Linked DNA regions of Arabidopsis thaliana. The protein of the gene in region 1 interacts with the protein of each later gene in a pairwise test. Each region holds a gene or a part of one and is shown in the gene's direction. Other genes may lie near its edges.

The links.
Region 2: the proteins of FACE2 (region 1) and LHT2 interact in a protein complementation assay, tested with the Arabidopsis thaliana proteins (one large-scale study listed by BioGRID).
Region 3: the proteins of FACE2 (region 1) and AT1G44960 interact in a protein complementation assay, tested with the Arabidopsis thaliana proteins (one large-scale study listed by BioGRID).

Annotation. Positions count from the first base shown.
Region 1 is NC_003071.7:15,211,730-15,218,515, forward strand, and holds FACE2 (farnesylated protein-converting enzyme 2), read left to right. Parts: upstream 1-2,656; 5' UTR 2,657-2,877; coding exon 2,878-3,087; intron 3,088-3,395; coding exon 3,396-3,455; intron 3,456-3,540; coding exon 3,541-3,747; intron 3,748-3,920; coding exon 3,921-4,032; intron 4,033-4,134; coding exon 4,135-4,206; intron 4,207-4,281; coding exon 4,282-4,344; coding exon of another isoform or gene 4,345-4,400; exon of another isoform or gene 4,401-4,429; coding exon 4,430-4,507; intron 4,508-4,586; coding exon 4,587-4,720; 3' UTR 4,721-4,884; downstream 4,885-6,786. Other genes in the region: AT2G36295 (uncharacterized protein), read left to right, coding at 26-367; AT2G36300 (Integral membrane Yip1 family protein), read right to left, coding at 1,633-2,400. UniProt on the Arabidopsis thaliana protein: Protease involved in the processing of a variety of prenylated proteins containing the C-terminal CAAX motif, where C is a cysteine modified with an isoprenoid lipid, A is an aliphatic amino acid and X is any C-terminal amino acid.
Region 2 is NC_003070.9:8,649,904-8,656,605, reverse strand, and holds LHT2 (lysine histidine transporter 2), read left to right. Parts: upstream 1-2,690; 5' UTR 2,691-3,044; coding exon 3,045-3,226; intron 3,227-3,310; coding exon 3,311-3,694; intron 3,695-3,901; coding exon 3,902-4,295; intron 4,296-4,380; coding exon 4,381-4,486; intron 4,487-4,583; coding exon 4,584-4,675; intron 4,676-4,766; coding exon 4,767-4,835; intron 4,836-4,944; coding exon 4,945-5,043; 3' UTR 5,044-5,199; downstream 5,200-6,702. Other genes in the region: AT1G24405 (uncharacterized protein), read right to left, coding at 1,168-1,353. UniProt on the Arabidopsis thaliana protein: Amino acid-proton symporter. Transporter with a broad specificity for neutral and acidic amino acids. Basic amino acids are only marginally transported.
Region 3 is NC_003070.9:16,996,382-17,003,237, forward strand, and holds AT1G44960 (SNARE associated Golgi protein family), read left to right. Parts: upstream 1-3,064; 5' UTR 3,065-3,194; coding exon 3,195-3,499; intron 3,500-4,585; coding exon 4,586-5,066; 3' UTR 5,067-5,353; downstream 5,354-6,856. Other genes in the region: AT1G44970 (Peroxidase superfamily protein), read left to right, coding at 5,856-6,125, 6,211-6,402, 6,489-6,654, 6,770-6,856.

The DNA of each region.
Region 1 (6,786 bases):
ACCGGAAATTATTTCAAAATCAACAATGACACGTTGTGTTGGTTTGGTTAACCGTGGAACAGAAGAAGAGGAGAAACAAGAAGCAAACGAACCTGAACACGATGGCGAGGGAAGTAGTGAAGAAGACGGCGAAGATGATCTGTTCGAGATAAACCTGGAGGCCGTCAGTGATACGGCCACATCTCCACCGTATGATTGCCAGAGATTACCGGCGAGAACAGGTAGCGTTTTACTGGCCAACTGTCTATTACCAGCTGCCGAAATCTCTAATGCCGTACCGGCAACATCAAGAGGTTGGAGTGATTTGGTTTGGTCTAGAGGGGTTCTCTATGTTGATAATCAAAGAATTGAGAGTAAGAATACTTAATCAGATGTATATCTTACAATTTTACCTTGAAACACAAATACGTATCTTATAGACACTTGAGAGATAATCTTGTCAATATATGCAAGTGTTACGAGTGTTTAATCAGATGGTTTATCACTATCTGGATATCATGGAAGAACTAGGTGAGTATGAGTATATATGGTTTCCTTTGACAAGATCCTGGTAAGGGAGAGACCAAGCCGCCTAAAAGTTTGGTTTCAATTGAGTCCAAGGATCGAAATTGTAGGGTATGTCTTAAGTACATCCACCAGATATATCAGAAATTTTACATCTTTACATTGTATGTTTAAAACAATTGCCTACTCCCCTTTGAGTCAATTTGGATTCTAAAGAAAAGGTGGAACACAAAAATGGTTCCCTCGGAACGAGTGTTGCAACACGAAAATATAGAGATCATTTCTAACACCAGTTCTACTGAATGTTTTAGGAGAAGGTAAAGCTGACAAATACTATGCTCACTCAATTGGACATAGCTGATTCTTCTCGACACATTAAAACAAATTCCATCTAAGAGAGTATGAATTGCGGATAAATCTCTCTCTAATTTCCGTGACACAGCAAATACTATCAGGAAAAGTAAGTGCAGTTCTGGGATTGACAGTAGAAGACGAACCTGAAGCCAAGATCCCATGTCCCTACTTATCTATGCCACCTAATCAGGGAACATACCAACACCGAGCAAACCACTAAATACTAATCACTCTTTCATTAGACTATGCCTAAGTTTCCAACAGCTCTAAAACCAACTCAAAATTCTACTCTACCTACATGGAGCCATACTTTAAGCAAATCTAATGCCAATCATTCCTAAAACTTGGGACCTTTAAGTATAATCCAAGCAAGAAGTCAGCACATCTTCATAGCCTCACACCGGGAAAGTAAATAGCAAAATAAACATGAAATAGGAAGCATATAAACCTCTTCTGCATTAGTACAGAAGCATATCATCCGCAACATCAATTCCAATACTCTCACAAATCTAATGTCCAGGAACAAACTATGTCAAAAGACATATCGACCAAATTGTATAAATAATTCTTAAGTAAGAACCTTAAAGATCAAGTGACAGATACAAACATTGAATCAAATTTCTTAAACACCTTTCTAAATTTATCCAAAAAAGCCTTTACACACCGTGCTATTCCCACCCAATTCAACCTCACATCAAAGAACTTATATTGCAGCCTTTTTTTGCTACTTGCTAACACAGCATCGGAAGTGATTCACGATCTATCAATATGGAATCAAAATATAACAAGAAGAGAGAAGAGAGTATAGATCAAGAAACAAGCGTACGCGATCAAGCCACGGTGCTCTTCTCCACCATCAGCAAGAGATACCACCAATGTAGAGCAGGCTCTAGTGGACCACAACACAAACAAAGCCGCAAGCACAAACCGAACCGGCCCTGCTCCCTGGGGAACGAACAATGACACCGCCGATAAAACCACCACCGGAAGCAAACAGTATCCGACCAAGCTCGTACACGTATGGAGATTAAGGTTCCCATTTCTACCAGCAAGCATGTTAAAGACGACGTATAGAAAGATAGAGGAGACGACGATCCATCCAAGTATGACACCGAACTGGATCTTACCAGCTAACAACTGAAATAAGCAAAGCGCAAGGTACAGAAAGATCGGACCAGATAGATCTGAATCTTTGTGAACAGCTTGGTTAATCCGAAAAGGATTGAGAATCGATCTAGTCTTCTTCCAGATTTGATCTGGATGGATACCGAGCTCGTCGAGTAATGGCTCCTCATCTTCAAACGAAGCTGAACCTCCACCAAAAGAAGAAGAGGAAGCGATTGTCCCGCCGAATGGTCCGGCAGGTGTAGCGGAAGACGCGGCTGCGGATCCAATGTCGAATGACATGAAAGGGATTGCGGAAGAAGAGGGACGCGGCGGTTGAAACGGTGTCGCTGGGAATCTTCGTTGCTGGACATTAGCACCGCCTGAAGATCCACCGGAGGGGAAAACTACAGGTGGAACTGCGAAATCCTTCGTCATCTTCTTTCCGAAATTGAGATCTCACCAAATCAGCAAAGAGATTCGAAATTAGGGTTTCAAGTTTGGATCAATGAGATGAATTTTTTAACCCAATTCACACGTTCGTGACGTTTCAGAGAAAATTCCTTTCTTTTTTTTGTTCTCTTCTTCTTCTTGACAGTGAAGAGACAACTTTAGAAGAAGGCATCTGAGGGTAGTTTCGTCATTCCGTCTAGTTAATGACGAAATATAACCAATAGGCTTCTTCGAAACTGGCATGGTGACGTATATCTTCTGATGATATTACCGTTATACCCTCTTTTATAAACGAAATTGGCCCAATGGGTCTGTTCGGCCCAGTAGTCATCCGTTTTAGTCTATAACGTGGCACGATGTAATTGGTTAAAGATTAGAAGACCGCCGGACTAAGATTTAACCAGCGGTGACTTCGACACTTATTAGCCGGTATATTTCTTCGCCGGAGCTTCCTCAACGATTATGGCCACCGATGGCGAGAGTATCTCGATGTCGTTGGCGGTGGCTACCTGCGTCGCGATGGCACTATTCTACGTTTTGATCCTTTACGTTCCCACCGTGATACTCCGTCTCCCGTCGGCTTCTTCTTACACCGAATTCATGATTCGGCGATTCATCTGCGCGGCCATTTGTACTGTAGCATCTCTCGTCTTCACAGCTTTTATACTTCCGGTAAGCTTCTTTGAGTACCGCCATTTCTCGATTTGAAGTTCATTCTCCGTTGATCTGTAACCAAATTAGGTCCAAATCTAGATGCATTTGGTGTTTTGATGAAAGTTAAACTAAAAGTAAAGAAATTTGATGTATTTGTAACTTTGTTGAGAGTTGAATTAGCTTTTACTAGTTGTTGTAGGTTCACACAATTTGTCTCTAAGAATGTAACACTCAAATATTGGTGACTATGTTGTGTTTGGTACAATTCAACGCTAGTTACAGGAATCTCTGAAACTTGTCTTCCTTTTTTGCTTGAGTAATGTTAGATAAAAAGCTGGGAGGCCTCTTATATACTTGGAGTTTATGGCATAAGGAAAGATCATCTGGTAAGTTCTTTGTCTCAATTTGTTTACTCGTAGCTTATTGTACACTATTCATATTAAAATGGTTATGTTTTGTGATATGGAACAGTGGCAAGGAGTGGTGTATCCTCTTCTATTGACCTCGCTCGTTTATGCTGGGTCTTTGGTGTTGAAGTTGTTTACTCTCCTGGAATCATGGAAGGAAAATGGCGGAGGATGTAGTTCCTTTAATTACATCAGAAGCTTTTTCCAAACAATCCCTGCTTCGGTATTGACAAGTGCTTCTAATGTTTCCGTTTGGCGCAATTTTATCGTGGTAATCATATGTTTGCCATCTCTGTGTGCTTATCTTGTCAATTCTTTATTGAAATTGCATAAGGCATTGCTTGCTAATTGTCTGAGGACTATATGCATCAGTTTGGTGTATAAGTAAGTTCTAAATCGAACAAGTTATAATCTGTTAGAGCTGGCGTTTCTTATGATTTGCAGGCACCAGTAACTGAGGAGCTGGTTTTCCGATCATGTATGATACCTTTGCTTCTGTGTGCTGGGTTTAGGATTAACACTGCCATCTTTCTGTGCCCAGTTCTCTTTAGCTTGGGTTTGTTTCTTTCTCTCTCTCTCTCTCTCTGTGAATAACAGTTTACAACTCGAGTGAAAAGAAAATTACTGGATTTGTCTGACTTTTATATGTTTTGTGTAGCTCACTTAAACCATTTTAGAGAGATGTACATCAGGCATAACCGCAGCTATCTCCGGGCTTCACTTATTGTTGGTATGTCTTTGCCATCCATAATCATAATAATATTGTTTGTTGATCAGTCCTGAGCTTCACTTGTCCGTTGATCAGGTCTTCAGCTTGGCTACACAGTCATTTTTGGTGCATATGCATCGTTTCTCTTCATCAGAACCGGTAACATTCCAGGCATTTATATATCTTATACATGTAAAAGCCTTTCTAATGGATGATTGTCTCCTGCATTGTGTAAATTTTACAGGACATCTTGCTGCTCCTTTGTTTGCTCATATATTTTGCAACTACATGGGATTGCCTGTGCTATACGCAAATGGAAAAGGTAAGACATAAAGTTCAAGGTTGTTAACAAATGCAAATGCAAAAGAATAAGCTAAACATGGTTATGGTTCTTCTCTCAGGTTTGGTGAGTGCAGCGTTCTTAGGCGGTGTGGTTGGGTTCGTCTTACTTCTCTTTCCTTTAACAAAGCCTCTCATGTACAACGATAGTACCAACGATTGTCCGTGTTGGCTTGGCTATTGTTTGTGGAATTGACACTTCTCCAAGTTTTTTTTTATATATCATCATGTCTTAGAATCTATTTTTTGACACAATATTGGAATTATGGTCTTTTACTGCAAGCTAATGTTTCTTGATAGTTTATGTAGTTTTTTCCTTGTAAATATATAATAATAATAATAATTGGTTCAAGTCTCCAAAATTAGTGTTGGCTAATTGTCCATTTTTTTCCGGTATTATCCCTAATGATTCTCTTGCTATCCTAGGAGGGACAGGAAGAAGGATGATCTACATCCCCAAGTCTAACCTAAACTATATTGTCCAATGTCAACACGCCAAAATTCATTTGATTTATATATAAAAATAGAGAAACAATGATTAGAAATTGAACATAGGTCCATAATCTTACATCAGAGATTCAGAAGATGATGTCTTGCTTGATGATCATCCAAAGAGATTTTGGGGGTAATCATCAAACGGATATAATTTTCTGAAAATTATATTTCAAAGTTGACTTTCAAAGTCTGAGTTTATGATGATGATTTTCACTTAGGAGTTACGAAAATTATGTTTCTAGGATTCGTAGGTCTCTCAGTAATTTTCTCACCACCACTTGATTACTATGTCATATTCCTACGAAATTTGAAGCTTGGATAGTTGAATTTATGGTCAATAAATTATCTGTACACTACACATATATTGTGTTTGTGTGAAGTAAACGGTGATTTAACGGGAGAGGATCTCTTCATAAAGAAGATGTGGTTGATTATGCTTGCATATAACAGAATTTGTTGAACCGGAAAATCATCCTCGACAAAACCAATATGCAGTAATCTACTCTAAAATGTATTTTACCCAAACTATACACTACTACTATCTAGTGAGATTCATTACTATTGTTTATGTGGATAGTTTTAAAAAGATGAAGACCAATACTATTATGATCTATTCATAAATCCTATTCTTATTTTATAGTTGTAAGTTGAGCTTTTATAATAGAGAGCATAAATATTGCTGGTATTTGAACTAATACAAACCGTTAAAAAAAGGGAACTAATACAAAAAGAAAAATCAACTAAATTTTCACTAATACTAAAAATTTGCAAAATTATGTTAATTTACGTTTATTTATTTATATTATAAATAAGTGAGTAAAATTCAAAATATTTATTTACCTTACATTTTAAATTTATCATCGCAAAATACACCACAAAATTTCATTAAGAAATATTTGTTTTTTTGTAAAGGAGGTAATAAATGACGTTTTAATATGATACAGTCAATAGGATACAACTTTGATCACGTGATTTAAAATTGGTGGTAAACCTATGTTCTCCTAAACACTTTTTCGTATCTTCTGATATCCTTATGGACCTTATCACTACTTTATCCATATATAAATTTCAATAATTAAAAGAAAACAACCACTTTACAAATTTGTTAATATCAATTACATGGTACCTTGAAAATAAATCTGGTCGAGATTAGAAAACTCTTAACTAACATAACTGAATAATAAAAGTCACATTTTCCAATCTTATTGTTCACAATTTGTTATTTCAAGACCATGAAATTTATAAAAGATAAAGGAAAATGTAGAACCCAATAATAAAAGAGATAAATAAATAATTTAAAGATACTGGTTGTTTAAGAGAAGAGCAGAAGGTACAATGTAGTCCCAGAATCCACCATGTCCTAAACAACCAAACCCCACATGAAAAGGCAAAATAGAAAATCTAATTAACATATAAATGGAAACAAAAGTAAAATATCCCTCAGAAGATAGGCCAGAGAGCATACAACACTCTGTCCTTTTTGTAGTAATTTAATTAGAAGAACCCAACAAAAATATAAAAACTACTCCATAATTAATAATACTACCACTAACCACTATTACTTAGCTAATTTTTCTTACATTACACCAATAAAATAAAAAATAAAAATGATGGGTTCTCCTAATTATCCGAATCCAAGTCTTGTCCTAAAGAGTTTTGTTGCATCAGGATTATCCAGAAGCAGAGCTTGATGAAGAGAGGTTGTTGTTGTTGTTGTTGTTTCCTTGATTTGATCCACTAGAGTTCTTGGTTTTCGAGAGCTTTTGT
Region 2 (6,702 bases), on another chromosome or scaffold:
AATAGCTACATATTCCTGCATCACAAAAGACCAGTCATATTATTTATCATTAATTCATGTCATCATCATCATTATCCTTATTATTATTAATAGATTACATTCATATTAAAGATTCCTACTAGTGGGGAGACCAACAACAGTTCAAGATTCTTACTCGTCAGGAGACAAAACGTTATTATTTCATCTTAAAAATCTTGTCTTAAATATCGAAACAGAGAATAGTAATTATAATGAATTGCATTGCTTTTAAAACCTTAAGGGGTCCTTTGATTTTACAAAAAGGACATTTTTCCTTTCTAGGACTAGATAGCTAATTTTTATTGGCCTTAATTGTTTGCAGATTCAAGATTATGATTGCAATTTTTCTAAAATGAATCCATTATCCAAGCATCTCAAACATCTTTTTTTTTTCTGTTAATCGTTATTCAACACAATGTTTTTTAATCTATCGTTGCACTAGTTGTAAAAACGCTATTTTCTTTTAAATCTAATTTAACATTAAATTAAAAAAATAATAATGTAAATGTCAAACCTTTTGTATATATTTTTTTTTTTGTATGAATAAATGTCAAACTTTTTCTTCACGTTTACGTTAAAAGTAGTTTACAAAAAGCTAAAGAGTATTACAATTTTAAAGATATTTTCTTTTGAACATCTCACTTTGCTTGTTGTTTGCATCCAGATGGTGACGCGGCATTAGATTAAACTATGCCTATATGGCATGGTTTATGAATTTTGTGAGAGGTTACTTGTCGGTACATCCTGCATGTTGCTGATTTTAGTAAACTAGGATAGTGATATTTTGAATCGTTGTTTATTGCCTAGACGTCTTTTACGAGTGTTTAGCGATCCATTAAGTTTTCTTTGTCATTTTAGGTATTACAAACTCAAAAGGATGATTTTTTTTACATGTACTCATCTAATAGGATTAATGATTTTATAATACACCTTTAATAAAACAAAAACACAATTCCTGGTCGCTATTAAATTCTCACCAACAAAAATATAAATACACAATCAACCGCAACCAACGAACTTTCTAAATGTTAAAGATTTAACAATTACAATCAGAAGAATGGTTAAAAGAGAGAAGCAGAACTTAATGGATTAATCACAAGGAACAGATGAATCAATAACCCTTTTGTAACTAAACAAATAACCTATTGATTACTTATCAGATTTCTTGCCAAGTTTCATCCATTTGAATCCAAGTATGGCCTTCCCGATACCGCTTTTGCTTCCATCTTCCTTCTTCTTCTTCTTCTTCTTCTTCTTATCGTCTTCGTTACTTGAATTTGGAGGAGGATCAGAGTTGTAATCCCATTGATCAGCCCATGATAGTCCAGAATCCATCTTCTTCGTCTCTCTTTAAGATTTTGTGGAATGAGAAGGTTTAGAAACAAATATGAGGGTGAAAGAAAGATTTTGTTTTACTTATTATAGACAGTATTGGTTTGACACAATGTCTATAAGTTTCTTGGTTGCTTATTTTTGGGGTTTATCTGTTTTTAGTTGTGCCTCTTTGCCCTTTGGTTGGACAAAGAATCAACATCTTTCACCTTTGACTGTGAAAACCCTTCAACAAGAAAAGAACCCCTTACCTGAAACACTTGAATTTTTTTGAGTAATCAAAAACTATACGCTTCAACGGTTCAACCTAATTTCTCTTTTACATTTTATTCAACATTTTCAAAGGATAGTTGAGTAGATTAATTACTGTTGATAAAAAACGACATACAATTTTTTTTGTCACGCTTTGAAATTATATTATTACGCTTGTTTCGTTTTGTGACATTGTACTACCAACAATAATTGTTTTTTATAGTCAACCATATCATTAATCGGAGCGGTCCCTTGATTCGTTCGAGCGACCCTCTAATCAATTGGGAATACTGTGACAAATAACCATGCATTTATGCTTCAACAATTTTAGTTTTCCTTCATAAATATCACGGGATGCAAGTGACGCTAAGCATAAATAGTTCGTCTGTTTCATTGACTTTGTAATAGAAGATGAAAAAAGAAAATATATAGATATTTATCTTCCTTTTGATGTCATGACGTTTCGTGATTTTGATTTACAGTGTCAAAAAGAGAGATTACGCTAGCGAAACGTCACTACGACCAAGATTTAGTTGGAGTATTTATACTCTGATCATTCTCAATTTCTCATCATCGACATTACAAATATGCAAAATTAACAAAAAATAATAATATATACAACTCATCACCTTATATATCTAAGAGCGTTTTGTCTAACTAATAATATGTTAGCATTTTTATGCCACTATTAGTAATTTAATAATATAGTTATTGCTTAAATATATAGATTTTTAACATATTTTCTCTTAGATATATATATATATATATATATATATATATATATATATATATATATATATCAAGATATAAATAAATTCTACTAAAAGAAAAACAAAAAAACAGCTAATTTTTTGTCGGTCAACTCAAAATAATCATTAAATGAGAAAGATATATTTATCTATCGAATAAATATTATTTTATTTTTTAAAAGCGAAACACTCGTTAGATCAGGTGACCATGAAAAGAAAAATTCAGCTCTATCCAAAAAAGAAAATAAATCATGCAAATACAGGGAGAAAAAAGTACGAAATTACAAAAAAAAGCCATGTCAATGTAAAGAGAATCATTGAATCAAGAAGAACGATTGGGGGTAAATTAGTATTTAAATTGGTCTAAGCATGAAACAGCTTCCAGCCGATGGTGCCTTATGCCTCGGGCAAAAAAAAAGACCAAACACACTAAACAAAACTACCAAACAAACTAACAAACATTCCCTTCAAATTCGGAAAAGTCAGAATCTCATCACCTATTTATTACACTCTCATAAACGCTAACAAATCGTTGAATAGAATAATTAAGCAGGTAAAATCCTAAACCGTCAGAGAATATCTATCCTCCTCTTAAATATCACTCTTATCTTTATCCTCCTAAAATCTTCTTAATTGTATCTAATCTCTTTCTCAAAAACCAAACACTATCTCTCGATTATATCACAAGGAGATATGGGGAACAGTGAAATGTCAGCGAGTGAGGTTGCGGCGGCCAAGCAGAAGAACGTCGACGATTGGTTACCGATCACATCTTCCAGAAACGCTAAGTGGTGGTACTCTGCTTTTCACAATGTCACCGCCATGGTTGGTGCTGGTGTTCTTAGCTTGCCCTACGCTATGTCCAATCTCGGATGGTATACTAATTTGTTGAATCTGATAATCTTAATCTCCTTTATGTTTTAATCCATGATCTGATCTGAGTTTTTGATGTATTACAGGGGACCTGGAGTGACGATTATGGTGATGTCATGGATCATAACGTTGTACACACTGTGGCAAATGGTGGAGATGCATGAGATTGTTCCAGGGAAGAGGCTTGATAGGTATCACGAGCTAGGTCAACACGCTTTTGGTGAAAAGCTTGGCCTATGGATCGTCGTGCCGCAGCAGCTTATCGTGGAGGTCGGTGTTGACATCGTTTATATGGTCACAGGAGGAGCATCCCTCAAGAAAGTCCATCAACTAGTCTGTCCCGATTGCAAAGAGATCAGAACTACGTTTTGGATCATGATCTTTGCTTCCGTCCACTTTGTTATCTCTCACCTTCCCAATTTCAACTCTATCTCCATCATCTCACTTGCCGCGGCTGTTATGTCCTTAACGTAAATCTCTTCAACACACATATATTGGTTTTACTTTATAACTTGAACAGAAAGTTAGAATAATTAACCTAGAGCATGCCTTGTGGTTCAAGGCTAGGGATCAAAATTGTTGTATATTTTCCGGTTATTAGAAGAAAAACTTAGCATAATCCCAAAATATGTAGAAAACTAGGTTTTATTGCCTGATGATTTTTATGATCTGTACAGTTACTCAACTATTGCTTGGGCTGCATCCGTGCACAAAGGGGTACATCCAGATGTGGACTACTCTCCTAGAGCATCAACCGATGTTGGAAAAGTATTCAACTTCTTGAATGCGTTGGGAGATGTGGCTTTTGCTTATGCAGGTCACAACGTTGTGTTGGAGATTCAGGCCACAATCCCTTCGACTCCGGAGATGCCATCCAAGGTCCCAATGTGGAGAGGAGTTATTGTAGCCTACATTGTAGTCGCCATCTGTTACTTCCCTGTAGCATTCCTCGGCTATTATATCTTTGGAAACAGCGTTGATGACAACATCCTCATCACTTTGGAGAAGCCTATCTGGCTTATTGCTATGGCTAACATGTTCGTGGTTATCCATGTCATTGGAAGCTATCAGGTATTCTTCCACATTCTAGTACTTCTATATTTTTGATTGAAGTAAGAATTATTTCATGAATATTGACACCTTTGTGTGGATTCAGATATTTGCAATGCCAGTTTTTGACATGCTCGAAACCGTTTTGGTCAAAAAGATGAATTTCAATCCTTCTTTCAAGCTCCGCTTCATTACTCGTAGTCTTTACGTCGGTAAGAACCCACTCCTCATTTATACATATGTAACGTCATCCTCCTACTCCATTCATTAATTAATCTCATTTTCATCAATGTACATTGGACCGTGCAGCTTTCACGATGATTGTTGCGATATGCGTCCCGTTTTTCGGTGGACTACTCGGCTTCTTTGGAGGATTCGCCTTTGCCCCAACAACTTACTACGTATAGTACAAATAATCCCTTCATTTCTTTATTGGTTTATCCATAGATTAAAGTTGTGAATTTATATACACATATTAATTTGTAACTGCAGCTTCCATGCATTATGTGGCTCGTTCTCAAGAAACCAAAGAGGTTTGGTCTATCTTGGACAGCTAACTGGGTATGTTCTTTAGTAATCAATGGTACATAATCTATAGCTCTTGTTTTCTTGTAAAGTAACAATTTTTGTGTTTTGGTTTGTTGGTGTTGTGGATTATGAAAAAATACAGTTCTGCATCATAGTAGGAGTTCTTTTGACGATCCTTGCCCCAATTGGAGGACTCAGAACCATCATTATCAACGCCAAGACCTACAAGTTCTTCTCTTAGATGGATCACTTTTTTTTGTAACCGCGCAACCGAAAAATAAAATCACGGCATGTCTAATTTTATGTGACTGTCCGTTTAAGTAAATTTTATGTTTTCATTGTAGTTAAGACAATTATCTTTGGTTTCTTTTGATAATAAACTCTTTTTCAAATAATTAATCTCCATGATCTGGTTCTTCTAATGTTGTGATTTCGTAATTTATGCAAGAACGTACACGGGAATTTTATGACACGTCTAGATGCAATGTTACCATGGTCAGCACGACACTGCGTTTTGTTTTTCTTTATGGTTTATGGATACATTTACATTAGATGATTTGGATCTGTGGTTAGATTTAATCTTAATCACGGGGTTTTCACCTGTCAACAATATGACATGACTTGAAAACGAATTTATACTTTCCAGTACAGCATGCATGAGTGATGAGAATAATTTAATAGCTTCGTTTATTATTTTGGCTTTTCAAATATCTTGATTTATACGTTGTTTTTGTTGATACGTGAACCTGTGATTCTGGTCGTAACTCGTAACGCCACATGTACCCTTTTGTGGAGAGTTTACTTGTAAACGGCAGACCAAGAACAAAATGTCCTTTCATCAATTTCTATCTAATAGAGAAATCGGCAATTTTGGTTATAAAGCTCTTTGATGAGTCTTCTCCTTGTCCTGCCTTAATTATCCTTTATGCTAGGCTCGGCTTCATCGTTACAATTTGCTCCGATCCAGCTTTGATTAAACTCGCTCTATATGTACATGATCTTCTTGTTTCTTTGTCTATGCATGTATTTTGTCATACAATTCTTTCTTGATTAATATTAGGAGAAAAACATAGAGCTCAGTAGTATAAGTATATACAACCAGTCCACGCATTCTGCTGCTTCCTCTTACCACATTACTTTGGACACCATGGATCTCACCGCTCTTCAACCTTTTGAGACTACAGTTTATGACATATCATATGGCAAATTAGCTTTATCGTGCCGTATTGCTAGACCTCTAAGTCATTACGAGACTTTTGTAGTGGTGCTTATACAACAAGCAAGCCATCTTACTAAATGATCATCATTGATGTAGTTAAATTCTTATTAAATTAGAGAATTATTTTTGTTTGTATAGTTAAATGTTACAATATAGTTTTAAAATATTATTATGTTAAAATTTTACCTTGAATTAACACAAAACAAATTAAAATTTTGATTTTGAGATATAGTGAAATAGGATAGGAAAATAGTTATTTTCAGGAAGAGAAATTGTGGACGGTACATTTAAATAAATTAATATAATTAATTAAAGAAGCAACAATTATGGTACAAAAAACTAAAGTTGGAAAAAATTCTTATAAAATACATGATATATCTAATGACTAATTTTAGTCAAACTACAACTAATGAAAAGTACATGTGTTATTAAAATAGAATGTCAAACACCACATTATTAGACATAGTTTAGAAAAATGCTTGTTATATTATATATATAAAAAGATTTAATCTATGGAGTACCTTTTTTTTTTCTCGGGATATCATGACATTTCTAAATTGAAGTTAAAATACATCTCCCCCTCTCTTGGTATGCCAAATTGTTTAACAAACGACAATGCATATCTCATTACAAATGCCTAGCAACTATGAGACAACACTCCATCATTTATATCTGCATCTT
Region 3 (6,856 bases), on another chromosome or scaffold:
ATCTAACCAATTTTTTCATTATTTCGGTACCCGAATCGAAGTAGCCAAAACCAAACGTGGCACGCCTATGCCACCAGGCCTAAACTATAAAACCCAAAAAACTAGAATCGAACCTGAACTAGTACCCGAACGCCTGAACTAGTACTCGAACGCCTAGGCCTAACAATGTATACGTAAAAATATAAAACTTTATCACATTTCCCGATTTTCATTAATTGTATAATAATTCATTATATAGGGGTGTAACACTTTAGCTAGAGATATTCCAAAAATAAGTCACTCGGGATTAGAAGTGGGCGTTTGGATACCCATTCGTTAGGGTATTTCTAAATTTTGGGTTTGGATCGGGGTCAAGTCCGATATTTTGGGTTCGGAAACTGGTTACCCGAAGTTCTCAAAAATCAAAATTTTAAAACCAAATATATCCAAACTACTCGAAAATACAGAAAATAACTAAAAACCTTGAACACTTTTGTATTCAAATTTACTCAAAAGTAGATTAAATACCTAAAATTATTTTAAGTATCTGAAAATCTAAATATTTTGACGCTTAGATTATTGCAAATATAAATATTAATACGATCAAATGATTCTTCAACTTTTTTTGTTAATCTCCTCATTACTTTTAACAACAAGTCAAGAAATTGCTCGATTTGTTTTGCAATTTCTTGACTTGTCATCACATGTCTCCACAGTTCTCACATGTCATCACACTACTTAGTGTACCACAAAAAATCTGGTAAACCATACTATCATAAGAGGAACCAGGAGAATGGAGACATTTGTCCATGCATCTAGCAAATTAACCAGATACTCATGTTCATCTTCATGTGCCTCATATTCGTGTATTTTTAATACGCGTAGTTAAGCAATATATGATAAGCTAGAATTATAGTTTATTTTACTATATTAATTTTGACTCCACACAATGCGTGGAATACCCCCTAGTAAACTATAAAAAAAAATATGAATAGAAAGACGTAAATCTTTTTGACCTTGAATAAATAAGAAGCTTAACTTAACAAGCATCCAAAATGTATTTTTGTAATCCGTTTAATTTTATCAGAAATATTAAATTTTAAAATTTTATGATTGTGTATCATATTTAAACTAGATTTTAATCCGCGGTATATCGCGGGACGATTTATTTTTTAAAAGTAAGATATATTGAAACTTGCAAATTTTATTCTTATAAAATATTTATATTTTACAGTTTATAATTGTTACCACAATTTTTAGCTTAAAGTTTTATATTTTATAGTTTAATTTTATATATACTAACATTATACATACCACATAACATTTTTGGTTTTATATAATCTTTTCTAAATTAGGATGATTTGATATGTTTAATATTAATGGTCTTAAAAAATAATAAATTAAAGATTTAACCCGTATTGAAACGGTGATTTAATTATATTTTACTTTTTTTATTAATGTTGATTCAAAAACCCGTCCCTCCAAATCCATCTTGCCAAAAAGCCATTTATTTTATTAATATTAATTTTATTTATGATATGACTCTAAATTATAATCTAAACATTTTAGCTAATAACATAGAAGTGCACCATATTTATTTAATAGGGGAATGTACCATATGACCCGAATGCACTTTTACCCAAATCCACCAAAAAAGTCTTGCAAAAATACTATAGAGATAAGAAACGATAGTCGGTTTTGATAGGTATAAGATTAGCAAATATATTAGTTAGCTTAAATTAGTTAAAGAATACAAATTAAAAAGATATATTACACTTTATTCGAATATAGTATAAAAACTTATATAACACAGAGATTTGATAATTTTTTAATTGTTGAATACTTTTTTGTGCTAATTTTTATGTGATTAAGATTTAGTTGATTTCGTATATAAAATATTAAATTGTTTTACGAACTTATTTGTTTATAATTTGGTAACAGATAGATATTTGAATATTCAGTATATTTTGCTTAAGTTTAGGAAATCTTTGATGACCCGTCTTTAAATCAAATAAGCCCTATAATTAAGAGATGAACTAGGATTTAACCCGCGGTTTACCGCGGGCAATCGGTTTATTTGGTTCTTATACTAAATATTTGAATAAATTTGATATCCTAAACTTATAAATATAAATTTTTTAATCAGACATAACTAAATAATAATTGAGATTTTTTTTTGGTTGTTATTTAGTGATAAGAAGAATGTGTTAAAATGTGTTTAATTTTTCTTTTGTTATTTACTTATTTTTGTTGAACGGATTAGATTGAAGTGAATTAAAATTATTGAACGGTTTAGATTGAATCGGATCATATCAAGTTTAGGAGATTGTTAAGACCAAATTACCCTTAATGATTTTGAATAGCAAAGAACAAAATCCAAAATTGAAATCAAAATTGAGGCCAAATTAGACAAAATTTCAATTTGTACTTCCCTTTTAATAATAAGAGGATATTGTCGTTAAAAGATTTTGGTAATTAATGACGTCATTAAAGGATTTTGTTTTTGATTAAATTTTTCTAATGGCATTGTCATGTAATTAACTACAAAAATTAAGGTTAAATTTAAAATGTACTTCCCAAATAATATAGTAGGATACTTGTAATTTGTATCATTTATATGATATTTATATTTATATTTATATTTTATAATTGTCATTAAGTAACGATATACCACATAAGAAGTTTGTTTTGTACAATCTTATATTAATTAGACAGATGTTATATGTCTAACACTAGTGATATTAATAAATAATAAAATAAGAATTTCATCTGTATTAAAGTAGTAGGTTAATGATGTTTTATTTACTTATTAATATTGTTTCAAATCCGTTCCGCCATATAACTCCGTCTCGGAATATAACTCATCGCATATTATTTTAATTTTCCTAATATTATAAACTTTTATTGATTTTAAATACATCAATCATAATATTAATAATAATTTAAATGAAAAATTATAGAAAATAAATCGTGATTGTCAAGTTTTCACTTTTGATAATTTTTTCTTGTAATTAGTCAATTAGTGTTATATTGTGGAGAGTTGAATAGTCTCATTTTGCAATTTTAGAAGATCAAGGGTATATTTCCAAAACATTGCAGTTTTGAGGATTCAACTTGCAATTTACCCTTTTCAAAAATCACTTTCGACAATTACCAAAAACCAGTTCCCCCATTTCATTTCACGCTTTCTTCTCTTCTCATCTCAGAGCTCCGTGATGAAGAAATGGTTAGCAATCGCAGCGACGGTGGCGATAATTGCAATAATCGTTAGACAAGGCACGACACAATACGGATGGAACAAAGAGGCGGCGTTGGAAAAGCTAAAGGAATGGTCAGATCGGCTGGGGATTTGGGCGATTCCAACGTATGTAGCGGTTCACACAATAACCTTAGCTCTTTGTCTCCCTCACGCCGTCTTCTTTGAAGCTGGTGCTTCTATGCTCTTTGGTTTCCTTCCTGCTCTTCTCTGTGTTTTCTCTGCTAAAGTTCTCGCCGCTTCTTTCTCCTTCTGGATCGGCAGGTCTGCTTCTCAATTGCACTGTTATGTGATTCAAATTGATCTGTTGGATCGTTAGTTTGTGTCGCTAATGTACGAATTTGATCGAAATGATTTGGATTTAGAACAATGATTCTCACATGGCTTATCTTGGCTTCGTAGAAAGTATATGATTCATTAGTAATACACTCTGGTTTAGTTTATGTTATCGTGTTTTGTGAATGCTTAAGGTTTTACTTGGAGATGGTTTAGATTTTTCTTTAGTGCACCATTGTTGAAACCTTTTGCAGAACGTTTATTGAAATCCATTAAATTGTAAGCATGAATGATAGGAAGGGAATGTTTGTGTGAAGAAATGGTGTCATTGTTGGTTATTCAGCGGTAAGATAACACCGTTGTTCACCAAAAAGGCGGAGAAGATGCATGATATTTTCTTGCGAGATTTAGATGGATGTCTTCAGATTCTATAATGGTGTTTGGATAAGAGTGGTTGTTGTCTTGTGTATGTGACGGAGATGTAAAGAACCGTTAGATGCTTGTCATTTGCTTGTTAATATATGCTAGGGAATGATTTGCAATATTCACATTTATGCTGGATTTTTACATGGCTTCATAGAAACTATATGCTTCATTAGTAACACTCTGATTTAGTTTAAGTTATCGATTTCTGAGATTTTACTTGGAGATGTAGAATAAACTCTTTTGTTGGTTTTGATTGTCCTGCTATCGCTGAAACCTCCGTATACAGAAGTTTTCACGAAAATCCATTCTACTCTAAGCATTATAGGAAGTGGATCTTTGTGTAAAGAAATGATGTCATTTTGGCTGTTCAGAGGAAAACTAACACCGTTATTCGCCAAAAAGGCGGAGAAGATGCATGTCTTCCTATTCTATAATGGTGTGTGGATGAGATTGGTTGTTTTCTTGTGTATGTGATGGATATGTATGGACTAATTGTTAAATGCATGCTGTGATTCTAATTGCCAATTAATATATGTAGGAGAATGCAACTAGGATGTTGATTAACCTTAGCAATGTGATATGCAGTTTTATTTATTTATCTATCTATTGGGAGCACTTGCATTCTCTCATACTTTTTTGAATTTTCAGGTTTGTTTTTAAGAGTTCCACCAGAGCTACAGGGTGGGCGCATAGCAACAAGTACTTCAATATTCTCTCAAGAGGAGTTGAGCGCGATGGTTGGAAGTTTGTTCTTCTTGCAAGGTTCTCGCCCATTCCTTCCTATGTCATAAACTACGCTTTGGCAGCTACTGAAGTCCGGTTTGTAGCTGATTTTCTGTTCCCCACGGTTATTGGCTGCCTCCCGATGATCCTGCAGAACGCATCAGTCGGTAGCCTCGCTGGTATGGCTGTGGCTTCAGTAGCTGGAAAACAGAAAAGTCAGGTCTGGGGTTATGTTTTCCCAGTACTTGGGATACTGTCAAGTGTTCTGATTTCATTGAGGATCAAAAAGTACTCAGCTGGAATTACAGAGGCATCATCAGATACCTCTGCTAACAACTCTAGTTTAGCTTCATCTGAAACTGCGAATCCCGCTTATGGAACCGATGGATCCAAGAAAAGTGAGTGATTATACAAACCATGATGGTGGTTTTTGATCGCCGGTATTACACTTTGTTTGGTTTGCAGCTATCAGATTCTCAACATCATGGCTTATTTTGGACGAGTTAGGCAGTATCTTAATAGTAACAAAGCATTAGTTTTTGTACTTCTTAAGTTAAAAGCTTAGAACAAAACAACAGTGTTATTTTCTATACCAGACACAAAAACTGTGTCGTTGTAATAACACTTACCATAACATTTTCTTTCAGTGTATGTTTAAAGCCGTTTATATGGTTGAAGCAATGTGACTAAAATTTTTGTAGCATTGAAACAAGCTATATTTGCATTGCTATGGTCTTGTTTTGTGACTAAAAGACTTGGATGCAGAATGGATATAAGTTAAATGTCTGATTTTGTAAATAACTTATGAAGAGAAAATCTTTATTCGGTAAGAGTTGTTTTCTCAATGTAGCAGTTCACTCATCATTTTCAAACTTCAACTCTCAGAGAACACAAAGAGGTTAGACAGTGCAGATGCTTATGGTTGAGAAGCTTTACCTAACAATGGTACAAGGCGGTTTTGTTGGGATCACATGTGAAGTTAGGCACATGGATTCGTTCTTGGAGTTGGTACAAGGACTTCTAAAAGACAACAATGAGGTATAATAAGGACAAGTTGACTATGTCTCTCTCTTTTATCTTAACATTCTAAATTAGGATTTGGTAAACTGAGAGCAGTTAGCTTCTTGAATCTCTAAAGTATAAAAACCCTCACCGTTTTACTACTATCTCATCTTAAAACTCCCAAGTAACAAAAATGGCTATCTCAAAGCTTATTCCTACTCTTGTGCTCTTTGTTTTGTTCTCTTTTGATGTTAGTGTTGCTCATCCAGGTCTAGGATTTGGATGGGGAAGTAATAGTCCCATTGGAGGATCTTTTTACTCAAATCTTTACCCACAATTTTACCAGTTCTCTTGTCCACAAGCTGATGAGATTGTTATGACGGTGCTCGAAAAAGCCATAGCTAAAGAACCAAGAATGGCAGCATCTTTACTCAGACTTCACTTCCACGACTGCTTCGTTCAGGTAAAAGTATCTTTACCTATTTTTGTTTTCCCTTTATGTGTCTCTTAAGCTTAACACTTATACACTACACTCTGTGTGTAAACAGGGCTGTGATGCATCAATCTTGTTGGATGATAGTGCAACCATAAGAAGTGAAAAGAATGCTGGACCAAACAAGAACTCCGTTAGAGGGTTTCAAGTAATCGACGAGATCAAAGCCAAACTTGAGCAAGCTTGTCCTCAAACTGTCTCCTGCGCCGACATTCTAGCTCTAGCTGCTCGTGGCTCAACTATACTGGTAAAATTAAGAGACCTTCAAGAGAAACTATTGGCTCAGTTACAAGTTATATAGCTTATATTTATCGAATTTGTGGTTCAATGCAGAGTGGTGGACCATCATGGGAGCTTCCACTAGGGAGGAGAGACTCGAGGACCGCTAGCCTTAATGGCGCAAACACGAACATTCCTGCACCTAACTCAACTATTCAAAATCTCTTAACCATGTTCCAACGTAAAGGTTTGAACGAAGAAGACCTTGTTTCCCTATCAGGTGAGATTAACATGTATTTATCTTTTGTTTAAGGAGTTGGCAAGGAAACCAAACCGAGACCGGTTTCTTAAAACCGAATGATAACAACGTTTTTAACCAAACCAAAATGTTGCAGGAGGACATACGATTGGAGTAGCGAGGTGCACAACGTTTAAACAAAGACTATACAATCAAAACGGTAATAACCAACCAGACGAGACGC